Linked DNA regions of Sus scrofa. The protein of the gene in region 3 binds, or shares a complex with, the protein of the main gene of each other region. Links are inferred from orthologs where the notes say so. Each region holds a gene or a part of one and is shown on either strand. Other genes may lie near its edges.

Region 1 (3,564 bases), on a different chromosome or scaffold from region 3:
AGCCATTAAAAGTAATGAAATACCAGATTTTTAGCAACATGGATGGACCTAGAAATTATCATGCTGAGTGAGGTCAGTCAGACAATGAGACACCAACATCAAATGCTTTCACTGACATGTGGGATCTGAAAAAAGGACACAAGGAACTTCTTTGCAGAACAATACTGACTCACAGACTTTGAAAAACTTTATGGTTTCCAAAGGAGACAGTTTGGGGAGTGGGAGGATGCGCCAGGATTGTGGGATGGAAATCTTATAAAACTGGATTGTGATGATCATTGTTCAACTATAAATGTAATAAATTCATTGAGTAATTAAAAAATAGAAAAAAGTAAATAAACATATGAACATGTAATAAAAGAGGAAAAAACAGAAACTATAATAACAATATTTGAATGTATGGGTTTTACACAGGATTTTCTTAAAATATTTTAATATAGTCTATGAAATTTTATGCTGCTTTCTTTGGTTTTATGAAAATGTATTATATATGTGTATATGTGTACATGTACTATTTTTTACAATTAAAATATAAAAGATGATAAATTTGTTTAGCAAAATACTAAAATATTATGTAAATAAATTGGCATTGTGTTGCTTTCCTTGACTCACTTTACTGTTTTATGCATATGAAATCTACCTTGTCTTCCTCTGCATATCACTAAGTTCTCAGTGGCTTTAAATGTCTCAGATTTGAAAATCCAGATTCCTTCCCCTCTGACCTTAGCTAAAAACTCAACATTATAAAAGCAATTCTTTATGCCATTAAAAAATACGAACGATTAAGACTTTTTAAAAAGTTAAAAGTATAATATTAATGATAAAATCAATGATACATTAATAAAGTACAATACCTGTCGACTAATGTTGGCAGGAGTGAATTGGTTAAGAATGGGTTGCAAGCCTGTTACATCAGCAGCTGTTGTATAATCCAGTCGATACTCCATAAAAATAGTAATGGGAGTGAGTTTGTCTCTAAATTCAGATTCATCCTAAAAATGGAAATATTTTGAATTAACAAAGACATCAACTTGTGACATCAAACTATCTGGAGAAATCCTTAAATGCACAATACAAAGCCAGCTGTATTCAAGTCTTGATCCAATTCTATCAAAACTCTTTGAAAAGCTAGACTTACATAAGAATAGAGTATCCAAAAAGATTATCATTATCCAGTGAGAACCCTTAATCGATTTTTGTTTTATAATGTAACATTTGACTCACCCCAAAATATTTGAGGCATGTCATTAAAATGAGCACTGAAACACACACCTGACATGAATAATAACTAGGACATTTCCCACACCGCTTAAGTTACCCACATGTTCTTTTCCCTTTTCATCCCTCTGTCTTGCTTCCAGAGGTACCTGAATTTTACCACTGCCTGAATTTTATGTTTACCATTCCCTTGGTTGCTTTCAGTAGTTTTATTCTAGTGCATATGTCCTTAAACAGTATGTTTTTCAGATTGCTTTTCCTGTTTGTTTGTTTTTTTAAATGAGATCATACATATTCTTCTGTCATTTTCTATCTGTTCAACACTCTCTTTAAGATTCATTCACACTGTTGCATGTATCCAAGGTTTTTACTGTTGAATAATATTTATCATATAATAAACCCACAATTTATCCATTCTTCTGTCAAAGTTATTCATAATATTCTATTATTTTAATTGATCATTTATCTGTACTTACGTCCTTTTCAATTCATAATTTTGTAGAGTTTTATTTTTCCTTTTTTTTTTCTATTAGGTTATTTAGATTGTTTTGAGTTTTTTGCTTGTTTTCTCTATGACAAAAAAAACATGCTGTATTGTTCTACATAGCGGCAAGCAGATTTGTCACCTCTGTAAGATAATATATTATTTTCCAAAGTCTTCCTAACAATTTACACTGCCACTAGCAATGTGTAGGAATTCTCATTAATTCACATCTTGACCAATCAATAGTACTGGCAGATTTTGTTTGAATAATGTAAAATAGTATTTCTTCATAAATGTTACTTGAAATGTTTGTCGTGTTTGCTTGTACCTTGAGTCATTATTAAATTAACAACCTTTCCGGCACTTAGGTAAGATGGCCATATTTTCACTCTGTTCATTAAAGTACACACACACACATTTTGGCCAAGCCTGTGGCATATGGAACTTCTTGGGCAAGGTTTTGAACCTGTGCCACAGAGCGACCCAAACCACTGCAGTAACAATGCTGGGTGCTTAACCTGCTGTGCCACAAGGGAACTCCTAAGTTGGTAGATTTTTAAATCTTTTGTTTTGTTTTTTTAAATTTTTTTTTTTTTTTTTTGTCTTTTTGCCATTTCTTGGGCCGCTCCCACGGCATATGGAGGTTCCTAGGCTAGGGGTCCAATCGGAGCTGTAGCCACCAGCCTTCACCAGAGCCACAGCAACGCAGGATCTGAGCCGTGTCTGCGACCTACACCACAGCTCACGGCAATGCCAGATCATTAACCCACTGAGCAAGGGCAGGGATTGAACCCGCAACCTCATGGTTCCTAGTCAGATTCGTTAACCACTGCACAACGACGGGAACTCCTAAAATCTTTAGGCTTTAGTTTGTTTATATTTGCTTAGTGATTTTACATCTGTGTTTTTGTAAGACTGGCATGAATTCTCCTTGATTTTACTATCTTTGACCAGTCTGGGTATCAATTACACTAGCTTCATAGAATATGAAGGCGAAAATATATTTTGTTTTTCTACTCTTTTTTTTTTTTTTTTTTTTTTTTTTTGCTATTTCTTGGGCCGCTCCCATGGCATATGGAGGTTCCCAAGCTAGGGGTTGAATCGGAGCTGTAGCCACTGGCCTACGCCAGAGCCACAGCAACGCGGGATCCAAGCCACGTCTGCAACCTACACCACAGCTCACTGGCAACGCCAGATCGTTAACCCACCGAGCAAGGTCAGGGACAGAACCTGCAACCTCATGGTTCCTATTCGGATTTGTTAACCACTGCACCACGACGGGAACTCCTGTTTTTCTATTCTTTAGAAGAGTTTAATATTGGAATTTCTTGCTCATGACGGTTTTGTAGATATTGCCTATAAAAGTATCTGTGCCTTGTGATCCCTTAAGATTTTTAATTCTCAGTTCAATTTTTTATATGGTTTAAATGAATTTTTCAGTTTTCTGTTTCTTCATATGACAGTTGTATTAGGGTTTTCTAAGAATGTCTCTATTTTACCTAAGTTTTCTACATTTTCACACAAGGTTATTACTAATATTCTATAATTACAATTGATCCTTTATCTGTATTTATGGCCCTTTTCAATTTCTAATTTTAACGAGGGTTTTTTTGTTTGTTTTTCCTTCATTTTTTTCGTAATCTTTCATTTAAATTAAATAGTATTTAAGGCTATACATCTACCTTTACATTCTCCTTCTGGGATATATGATACATTTTGATGTAGTATTTTCATTATGATTCACTTCTAAGTAAAGTTCTAATATGATCTCTTTTTTGATCCACAAGTTACTAAAAATTATAATTCCTAATTCCCAATTTATCCTTGTTACTAATTTCTAAAAACTGCACTGTAAACAAATA
Region 2 (3,564 bases), on a different chromosome or scaffold from region 3:
GGTCTCTGCACCTCCCAGGGCACAGCCACCTGTGTTTAAACCCAGCAAGACACAAGGGATTCAGCACACTCTCAGCCACGCCATTTGTGAGCCATACAGCTCTTAAAGTACTTGAACAAAACAATACCAAAGTTTATTTTTTAGTCTCCAAAAATCTGTCCTCAAAATGTTAGCAATCCATAGTAAAGTTCATAGTTGACATCTATCACATTGAAAATATGTGTCTTGGCCCCAAACAATCATTCTCTTTGATTCTTCAAGTATGAAAATATGTCAACATCCACAAATACAGGATCATCATATTTATCATCTCCTTTAATTTAAAAAAAATTGTTCGCACCCATTAAAGAACACTGCTCTCTCAAATGTACGATGATTTTATTTTAAAAATAAATCTTTTTTCCCCTCAAAGTTTTCACTCTCAAGTGGAAGCCTTTGATGTACAATAAAATAGCCAGAAAAATTACCAAAACGATCGTCATAAGGGTATTAAGAAGTCCTGTTGTGCAGTAGTGCTGTTTCACTCTCCTCATTTAAGTGCCCAAGGAACCTTTGTATTTATTTACCTTAAGCCCAGAGCATTTGCTGTGGGAACAGCCCTGCGTCGCCTGTAATTTGTTAAAGAGTTCGTTCAATGGCAAAGGAGCAATTGAACAGATCAAAATAAAAGAATGACTTCGGATCTAGTTTCTGAACCAAATGACAGGTCAAGCATACCACAAAAGCAATATATCAGAGAACTTGCGTCTTACCTTGTACGTGATCATTCCTTCCTAGAAATAGAAAGAACAGGCAAAGCAGTTCAATCCCCATCCGTTTCAGTTCTCGCTGTGCAGACAGATTAAAAAATGAATTACCTTCAACATTACAAGACCAAAGCTGAACATCGTTAAAAGTCTTTCTTTCTTCAAGTGTGAAACTGTAAACACTACTTACACTGTTTTGAAAAGAAACTTGAGATGTAAATTAAAAAGTTTTCATTAAGGCTGAAATGAAAACAGAAGCTACCTGGACAGGTAAAGAAGAAAAGCTGTGTTTAAGAGCAACTTCAACATGATTTACTTCCTTGTTCTCCTTATAAGGAAGGCAGGTGTACAATCACCAAGAAGGTGGGGAAATTCATTCAGTAGAAATTTTTGTGTAAATTCTATTAGTCTCTCTGCTTCCTAGAGAAAGTTGACACCTTTAGTAAAATACTGATCAGTGAAATGTCAAAAGAGCAATTAAAATATGGTCTAAAGTTGTTTTTAAAATAATTTAAAATTAATGTAAACAGTAAAGATGATAAATAAAATACAAATATATGCTATGTAGAGGAGGGTTTTAAAAATGAGCTAAAGGAGAATACCTGAGATTTTTCTGTTTCATTGTGAAATCTTTTGCAGAGAATTGAGATGAACTCTGAAAAATAAAAATGATTATTTTTCAATTTAGAAGTCAGGCTAGGGAGAGAAAAATACTGTGTTCTCTTGTTTTTAAAGTTGGATAAAATCTCTTTTTCCATGTGTAGAGAATTCTTATTTAAAAGCATTATTAGAAAAAAAATGTAATATATTAAAATTAAATTAGACCAAAATGAATCTCAAACAACGACAATGGAAACAGAAACAATGATGCTTAAGATTCGGAATCCCTCCCTTCTCGGTAGTGACCAAGTTCTTTTCCTCATGGACTGTCCTTGTTTCTAGCTCACGGCTTGGCACATAGAAGATATGTATTTGTTGAACAAAAGAGTGACAAATTTCAGATATATACCCTCTATGGCTAACTTCATGAGCTTGATTAAGAATTTTTCTTAATGCATTCCAGACAGTGATTGGGATTTGTAGATACTGCAAGCAAATATTCACTTTGATACTCTCCAAACTGCTTGACCTTAGACAGGCTTCACTGTGGCTAGGCTTAGTCCTGGAAGATTATCTTTTGAAAGTATATTTCTAGGTAGCATGTGAAACCTGTGAAGTGAGGAAAACTAATTATAGACTGCTCAGGTTCTTCTCAGAAGGCTATGTTCAATTTTGCACTCCATCATACACTGCAATCTGGAAGAACATGGCAAGAATCCTGCAGAGAGAAACCAGAATTATTAAAGAGTTGGAAGTTTACCTTTGGGGAGAAAAATACATTTATATGAAATTGGTTGGTTTAGCTTGAAGAGAAAGATGGAGGCGCAGATTATCTGTGCCTCTCCTATTACCTCTGGATAAGACTTGTATCTTGTCACTCATTTATTTATTCACACATTCATCCATTCATTCAATAAATATTTATTGAGCATCTACTTTGGGTCAAATATTGTTCTAGAAGCAGAGGATAGGTCAGTAAACAAAGTCAAACTCTTGACACATGAAGTATATATTCTATGCTGGGGGGTAGCAGGTAGGGGAAGACTGATTCTTAAAATCATGCTGTCATAAGGGCTATGAAAAATGATAACAATGGGTAATGGCTGATGGTTCGGAAAGGTGTGCTATGTTACTTGGGATGGTCAGGGAAGACATCCCTGATCAGCTGATGTCTGAAAGAGCCCTAAATGACTTGGGCAACAAAGTGCCATGGCTCTGATGGCAGACCAGGCATTTTCAGGGAAGGCAGAGTACAAGAAGGGACAGAGGGGGTGGTAGCAAGTGAGGTCAGCTTTAGAGGCAGAGGTCAGATTGGACGTAGTCTTGACCTTGAATTTTATTCAAAATGTGTTAAAATGTCACTGGAAGATTGAAAGCAGGGGGATGGTATAATTTAATTTACATTTAATTAATTAATTAATTAATTAGTCTTTTGTCTTTTTTTCTCCAGGGGTGGCACCTGTGGCATATGGAGGTTCCCTGGCTAGGGATCTAATCAGAGCTGTTGCTGCCGGCCTATGCCAGAACCATAGCAACACCAAATCCGAGCCTCCTCTGCAGAGCCACAGCTCATGGCAATGCCGGATCCTTAACGCACTGAGCGGGGCCAGGGATTGAACCTGCAATCTCACGGTTCCTAGTCAGATTCATTTCTGCTGCACCATGATGGGAACTCTTAGTTTACATTTTAAAACAATCATCACTCTGACTGCTATGAAGCTTAGAAAATATGGGGCTAGACTGGAAAGTGGGAGATCAATTAGGAATTTACGGCTGTTTTCTAGGAGTGATTGGAACCAGAATAGTGCTGATGTAGGAGGGCAGAGGTGGTCCGATACAGGATAGCATTTGAAAACAGAATGTGCTTATGGATTGAATGTGAATGTGGAAGAAAGATTTTTAGCCTGAGCAACAGAGTATATGAAACTCTTTTCTGAGAGGGGTGACCCTGGGGAAGGATCAGGTATTGTGTAGAGGATGGGACTCAAGAAGATGTTAATTTGAAGACATCTAGGAGATGACCAAGTGAAGATGTGTCTGATGAAGTTTGATATCTGACTCAGCAAATGGGGTGTTACGGAACTATCAACTGTAAATCTAGGATCATTACCATGGATTTAAAGATATGAGGCTGGGGGAGTTCCCATTGTGGCTTAGTGGAAACAACCCCGACTAGAATCCATGAGGATGTGGGTTCGATCCCTGGCCTCGCTCAGTG
Region 3 (4,054 bases):
AAAGTTGGGGGCTGGGAATGAGGAGGCCAGCCATGAAGGCCTGGTCAACTGGGGAAGTTGCTTTCCGCCTGTGCATGGGGGGTGGGGGACATGCTGGAGACATCTGATGAGAAAGGACAGAGGAAGCCCCTTCTGGGGGCCTCCTTCCCCTACTAGTCCTTGTCTAGCCAGGCCAGTCACCCCCCCCTCACCCGCCAAATAAGCCCTATCTTGGCCCAGGGGTTACTCAGCAGACCCCAAAGGGAGGGTAGAGCACAAGCGGGGAGACAAACAGGGAGGAAGAGAGATAGAAGGGCCAGGAACGGTCAGAGGGGAGAGCTGGAGATTGGGGTATGGAGAAGAAAAAGAGAAAGAAGAGGTGGCGAGGCAGAAACTAGAAGATTCAGACAGTGACAGAGCACGACGGGAGAGATGGAAAGGCAAAGATGGGCGATAGAGACACACAGGAAGAGAGACGTAGAGTTCAGAGACCAGATGGAGGCATAAAGGGATTGAAGGTGTCAGTGCTGAAAAAATCTCTACAACGTAAGTGAGGCGACCAGGACGGAAAAGGTGACACAGAGATGCGAGTAGGTAGAGGCGTCATTTGGCTGAAGTCGCAACTGGGCGCACAAATGGGCCAGAGACCCACAACTACACGGCCAAGGAAGAAAGCGAAGGCGGAGGGGGCGCCCCCAAGCCTCCGGGCCACGCGGGACGCCTGGGTCCCCGCGCGGGTGCTCGAGGGGCCGGCCCAGCGGTAGCCCCGCCCAGAGCTGGGGGTGAAGAGGGCGGGAGGCGCCGCCGGCGCGAGGGCGGGGACCGGACCTGTCTCGTCTCGCCTCGGGCTCCGCGCGCGATCCCCCCCCCACCCCCCGCCACCAGGCACGGGAAGGAAAGGGAGGGGAGGGAGGGCGAGGCGGCCGGACGCTGGGGTTTCCCCAGCCTCCCAGAGAGGAACTAAGAGTTTGGGGTCCTGGCTCTCCGCGTCTAGCTCTACGTAGTCCTCCTGCCCCCTTCCGGAAGCGCAGGCTCCTCCCCCCGCGCGTGGCACCCACGTGGGGCTTCCTCACCCATACCAGTTCGGTTTTCTTACCCCGATCTTGTAGAGTCGCACCCACCCACCTCTCCCCCTATGGCTCGACTGCTCACTCAGCCTTCTGCCTTCCATCCCGGGGACATGGGAGTCGCTCGCTGCTCCCAGCATGGCACGGTCCTTCTCTCCTCTGCCTCCTCCCAGGTCCACCTTTCCCACGCTTGTCTCGCCGCTCTATAAACCCCTTCCCACGACCCAGTATTCTAGGTTTCCTGGGGCCCCGCTTCCTCCGCCGGGCTTCCTTCTCTCAAGTCCGTGTGCGAAATACTCAGGGCGCCTCTCCGCGCATCCCTGGCACTCCAACTGGGGTCTACTTTCCCGCTAGCTTCCTCCACCCTACGACATCGCGCCCCCCTTTTTTCCCCGCATGTATCACCCCTCCCCGCCTCTCTCTCTGAGCCCTCCCCAGATCCTTCGTACTCTCCTCTAGCCCTGTGCAAGTGGGTCCACTCTCCACTTCTTTGGCACCTCCGGGGTTCGTTTCACCTAGTTTTTCTGTCTTTCTTGGATCTTCCTGCCACACGACCCCTAAGCTCTGGGTCCGCTTACCCACTCTTTCTCCTTTCCCAAATTCTGGGGTCCTCGATTTTTCCGAATCAGGCTCCCTCTCTGCAGCCCCTACCCCACGACCCCTCATTTTATTGCACCCTGCAAGGGGAAGTGCTTTTCTACTCCCCCTGCAACTGCTTCGCTTCTCTCCCTCTAATGGACTCCCCCCACGATCCCACATGTTCCTGTCGCTCTCTAAAAGCGGTCCACTTCGCTATCTCCTCTTCAAGACTAGGTATCTGGGACATAGGGAGCTCAGCCCTATCTTCTTTGGGACCCCCCCCCCCGCCAACGCGTTCCCGGCACCCCCGGGTCCTCTTCCTCCGGCCAGTTTCCTCTAGGGTAATTTCCTCCCCGTGACCCCTGCACTCCGGCGCCCCCTGGGGGCTCCCCTCCAGGATCCCCGGCCCTTCTGAGCTCACGGTTGCCGCTTTCCACCATTAGCACGCGGGTGACCTCCTTGGCGTAGTAGTCCGCCTCTGGCTCGGGCTCCGGTTCGACACTTTCCCCGGCTACCCGGTCGCGGGTACTGTTGTAAAGAGCCAGTACGGCCTCAGGCAGCGGGCCGGGCGGCACGTCCCCCTGGCTCGGGGGGCTGGCGAGCCGAAGCTTGGACAGAATCTGGCCGCGAATGGCCTCGATGCGCTTCCGCTTCACCAGCTCCATGTCGATGGTCTTGCAGGTGGACAGTCCGGCGGCCGGCCGGCCAGGCGTCAGCACTAGCAGCCACAGCAGCGGCAGCAGCAGCGGCAAGAGCCGCAGCCCCGAAGGCGGCATGGGGGAGGCGGCGCCCCCCGGCACAGCCGAGAGTGCGAGCCGGCTGGGGTAGGAAGAGGGAGGCCCCGCCCCTACAGGGGCTGAGGGGTCTCCCCAGAAAAGGTAGGAGGATCTGGGGTGGGAGGGAAGTTGAGGCTCTCAGGGAGAACGGAGGAGCAGAGGTGGAAGGGAGGCTCTGATGGGTGGGTTCTCGGTATCCTACGGAAAAAACCGAGATGGGCGAGATCTGGTACCAGAGGTGGGTGGTCTTGAATAGGAAAGCTGAGGCAGGTCTGAGACAGATTCCGTCTCCCGGATCCGAGAAGGGTCCTTGGATGCGCAGGGGCTCAGCAGAGAGGCTGAGAGTGGGGAAGTGTGCAGGGGGGTGCGCCCGAGCTTTGGGGTCAAGTCTTCGCGGGAGTCGGGTTTGCGGCTCCAGACGGCAGGTCCGGAATGGGGGCACCTAGGGAACGCCGCGCAGGGGGCCGGGAGGGAGCAAGCGTCCGAGGCGGTGGTAGGGTGCGGTCTGGGGTCCCCAAGTCCTGCCTCGCGGGGCAGCGCTGCGCGAAGCGGTCCCCGCGCCTCGGGCTCCCAGCGGCAGCGGAAAAGTCTCAAAACTTTTTTTCCTCTTCTCCCAACCAGCTCGTCCCTCCTCCCGCTCCTCCTCCCCCTCCTCCCCGCAGCGGCGGCGGCGGCGGCGGCGGGGGCGGCGGCGGCTCGCCTCAGACCCTGGGGCCTCGGGCTGCTCCTCGGCGGCTTCTTCCTCCTCTTCTGGCTGAGGCTGGCCCCGCAGGCGGCTCCGAGCCGGGGGGTGCCCCGGAGGGGGCGTCCCCCCTGCCCCCGGCCGGGGGCCTAGCTGTCTGGTGGATCCGCGGCGGGAGGAGGGGGGTGGGACGAAGCCGGGCGCGAAGGGCGGCGGCGGCGGCTGCAGGGACCGGCTGGGGCGGCGGGGGGTTTTGAAGCCGCCCCGGCCCCACCCAGGAAGCGCGCGGGGCGGGGGCGGCCCTCAGGGGGAAGGCTTGGGGGGGCCGGGCCGCCGTCCTCATCTCGCGTGGGCGGGCTCCAAGGGGGGTCCCTTAAGCCCTAGCGGGAGGGGGCGGTCACCCGGCTCCGCCCCAACAGGGTGCTGCCTCCTGGCGGCCGAGCGCTACTAAGGCGGGCGGCTGTGATGCGTGCGGCTTTGAGGGTGGCTTGGGGAGCCACTGAGAGAAAGGCGACCTGGTGGGGAGGACTCCATCAGAGGATGGGGACACAGCGTACAGGGAGTCCGAGGAGGACCACCCAGAGTGGAGAGTGGGAAGCTGGGGCAGAGAGGGAGTGGGTCTGCCAGAGATGGGGAGCCAGTGGGGAGAAGGGCACAGGGGAGGGGGACCCCCAAGGAGTAGGGGACATAGGAGCAGTCACCTAGAGTGGGGGGGGTCACCGTTGGGCAGAAGATAGGGGAAGGGGGCCTGAGGAAGGAGGGTGACAGTGGAAGGGTGGGCACAGGACATCTGACAGATGACAGTCAGAAAAGCACCCGCACATGAAAGAACTGCTCTCTTTTATTGAGTCCTTCCATGTGCAAACAGCTTCTTTGCACCCAACCCCTGTGAGCCCATGTGCTTCTGCCCCAACTGTAAGATGGAAAACCAACCTGGGAGGGGCAGCCACTGGGCTTGAGGTGCTACTCAA

What was found. Proteins that work in one complex are often made in the same cells at the same time.
Region 1: the proteins of TGFB1 (region 3) and ITGAV are in contact, whole or in part, in a crystal structure (PDB 5FFO), measured with the Homo sapiens proteins. The link is inferred for Sus scrofa from reciprocal best matches to the Homo sapiens genes TGFB1 and ITGAV. Residues at the interface, in NP_000651.3 of Homo sapiens: Gly242, Arg243, Arg244, Gly245; in NP_002201.2 of Homo sapiens: Asp178, Asp180, Phe207, Tyr208, Gln210, Ala245, Asp248.
Region 2: the proteins of TGFB1 (region 3) and ITGB6 are in contact, whole or in part, in a crystal structure (PDB 5FFO), measured with the Homo sapiens proteins. The link is inferred for Sus scrofa from reciprocal best matches to the Homo sapiens genes TGFB1 and ITGB6. Residues at the interface, in NP_000651.3 of Homo sapiens: Pro70, Gly71, Pro72, Glu75, Leu158, Asn237, Gly245, Asp246, Leu247, Thr249, Ile250, His251, Met253, Asn254; in NP_000879.2 of Homo sapiens: Ser142, Ala143, Ser144, Asp146, Asp147, Pro196, Cys197, Ser199, Ile200, Pro201, Tyr202, Lys228, Lys231, Ile232, Ser233, Ala234, Asn235, Ile236, Asp237, Thr238, Glu240.

What each region holds. Positions count from the first base shown.
Region 1 is NC_010457.5:91,681,412-91,684,975, reverse strand, and holds part of ITGAV (integrin alpha-V precursor), read right to left. Parts: intron 993-3,564; coding exon 855-992; intron 1-854.
Region 2 is NC_010457.5:67,119,862-67,123,425, forward strand, and holds part of ITGB6 (integrin beta-6), read right to left. Parts: intron 1,956-3,564; 5' UTR 1,775-1,955; coding exon 1,756-1,774; intron 1,402-1,755; coding exon 1,349-1,401; intron 1,167-1,348; exon of another isoform or gene 937-1,166; intron 829-936; coding exon 753-828; intron 30-752; coding exon 1-29. UniProt on the Homo sapiens protein: Integrin alpha-V:beta-6 (ITGAV:ITGB6) is a receptor for fibronectin and cytotactin. It recognizes the sequence R-G-D in its ligands. Internalization of integrin alpha-V/beta-6 via clathrin-mediated endocytosis promotes carcinoma cell invasion.
Region 3 is NC_010448.4:49,345,798-49,349,851, forward strand, and holds the start of TGFB1 (transforming growth factor beta-1), read right to left. Parts: upstream 2,846-4,054; 5' UTR 2,600-2,845; coding exon of another isoform or gene 2,473-2,599; 5' UTR 2,402-2,472; coding exon 2,047-2,401; intron 1-2,046. Other genes in the region: basic proline-rich protein-like, read right to left, coding at 2,473-2,599, 3,109-3,305, 3,358-3,426. UniProt on the Homo sapiens protein: Transforming growth factor beta-1 proprotein: Precursor of the Latency-associated peptide (LAP) and Transforming growth factor beta-1 (TGF-beta-1) chains, which constitute the regulatory and active subunit of TGF-beta-1, respectively.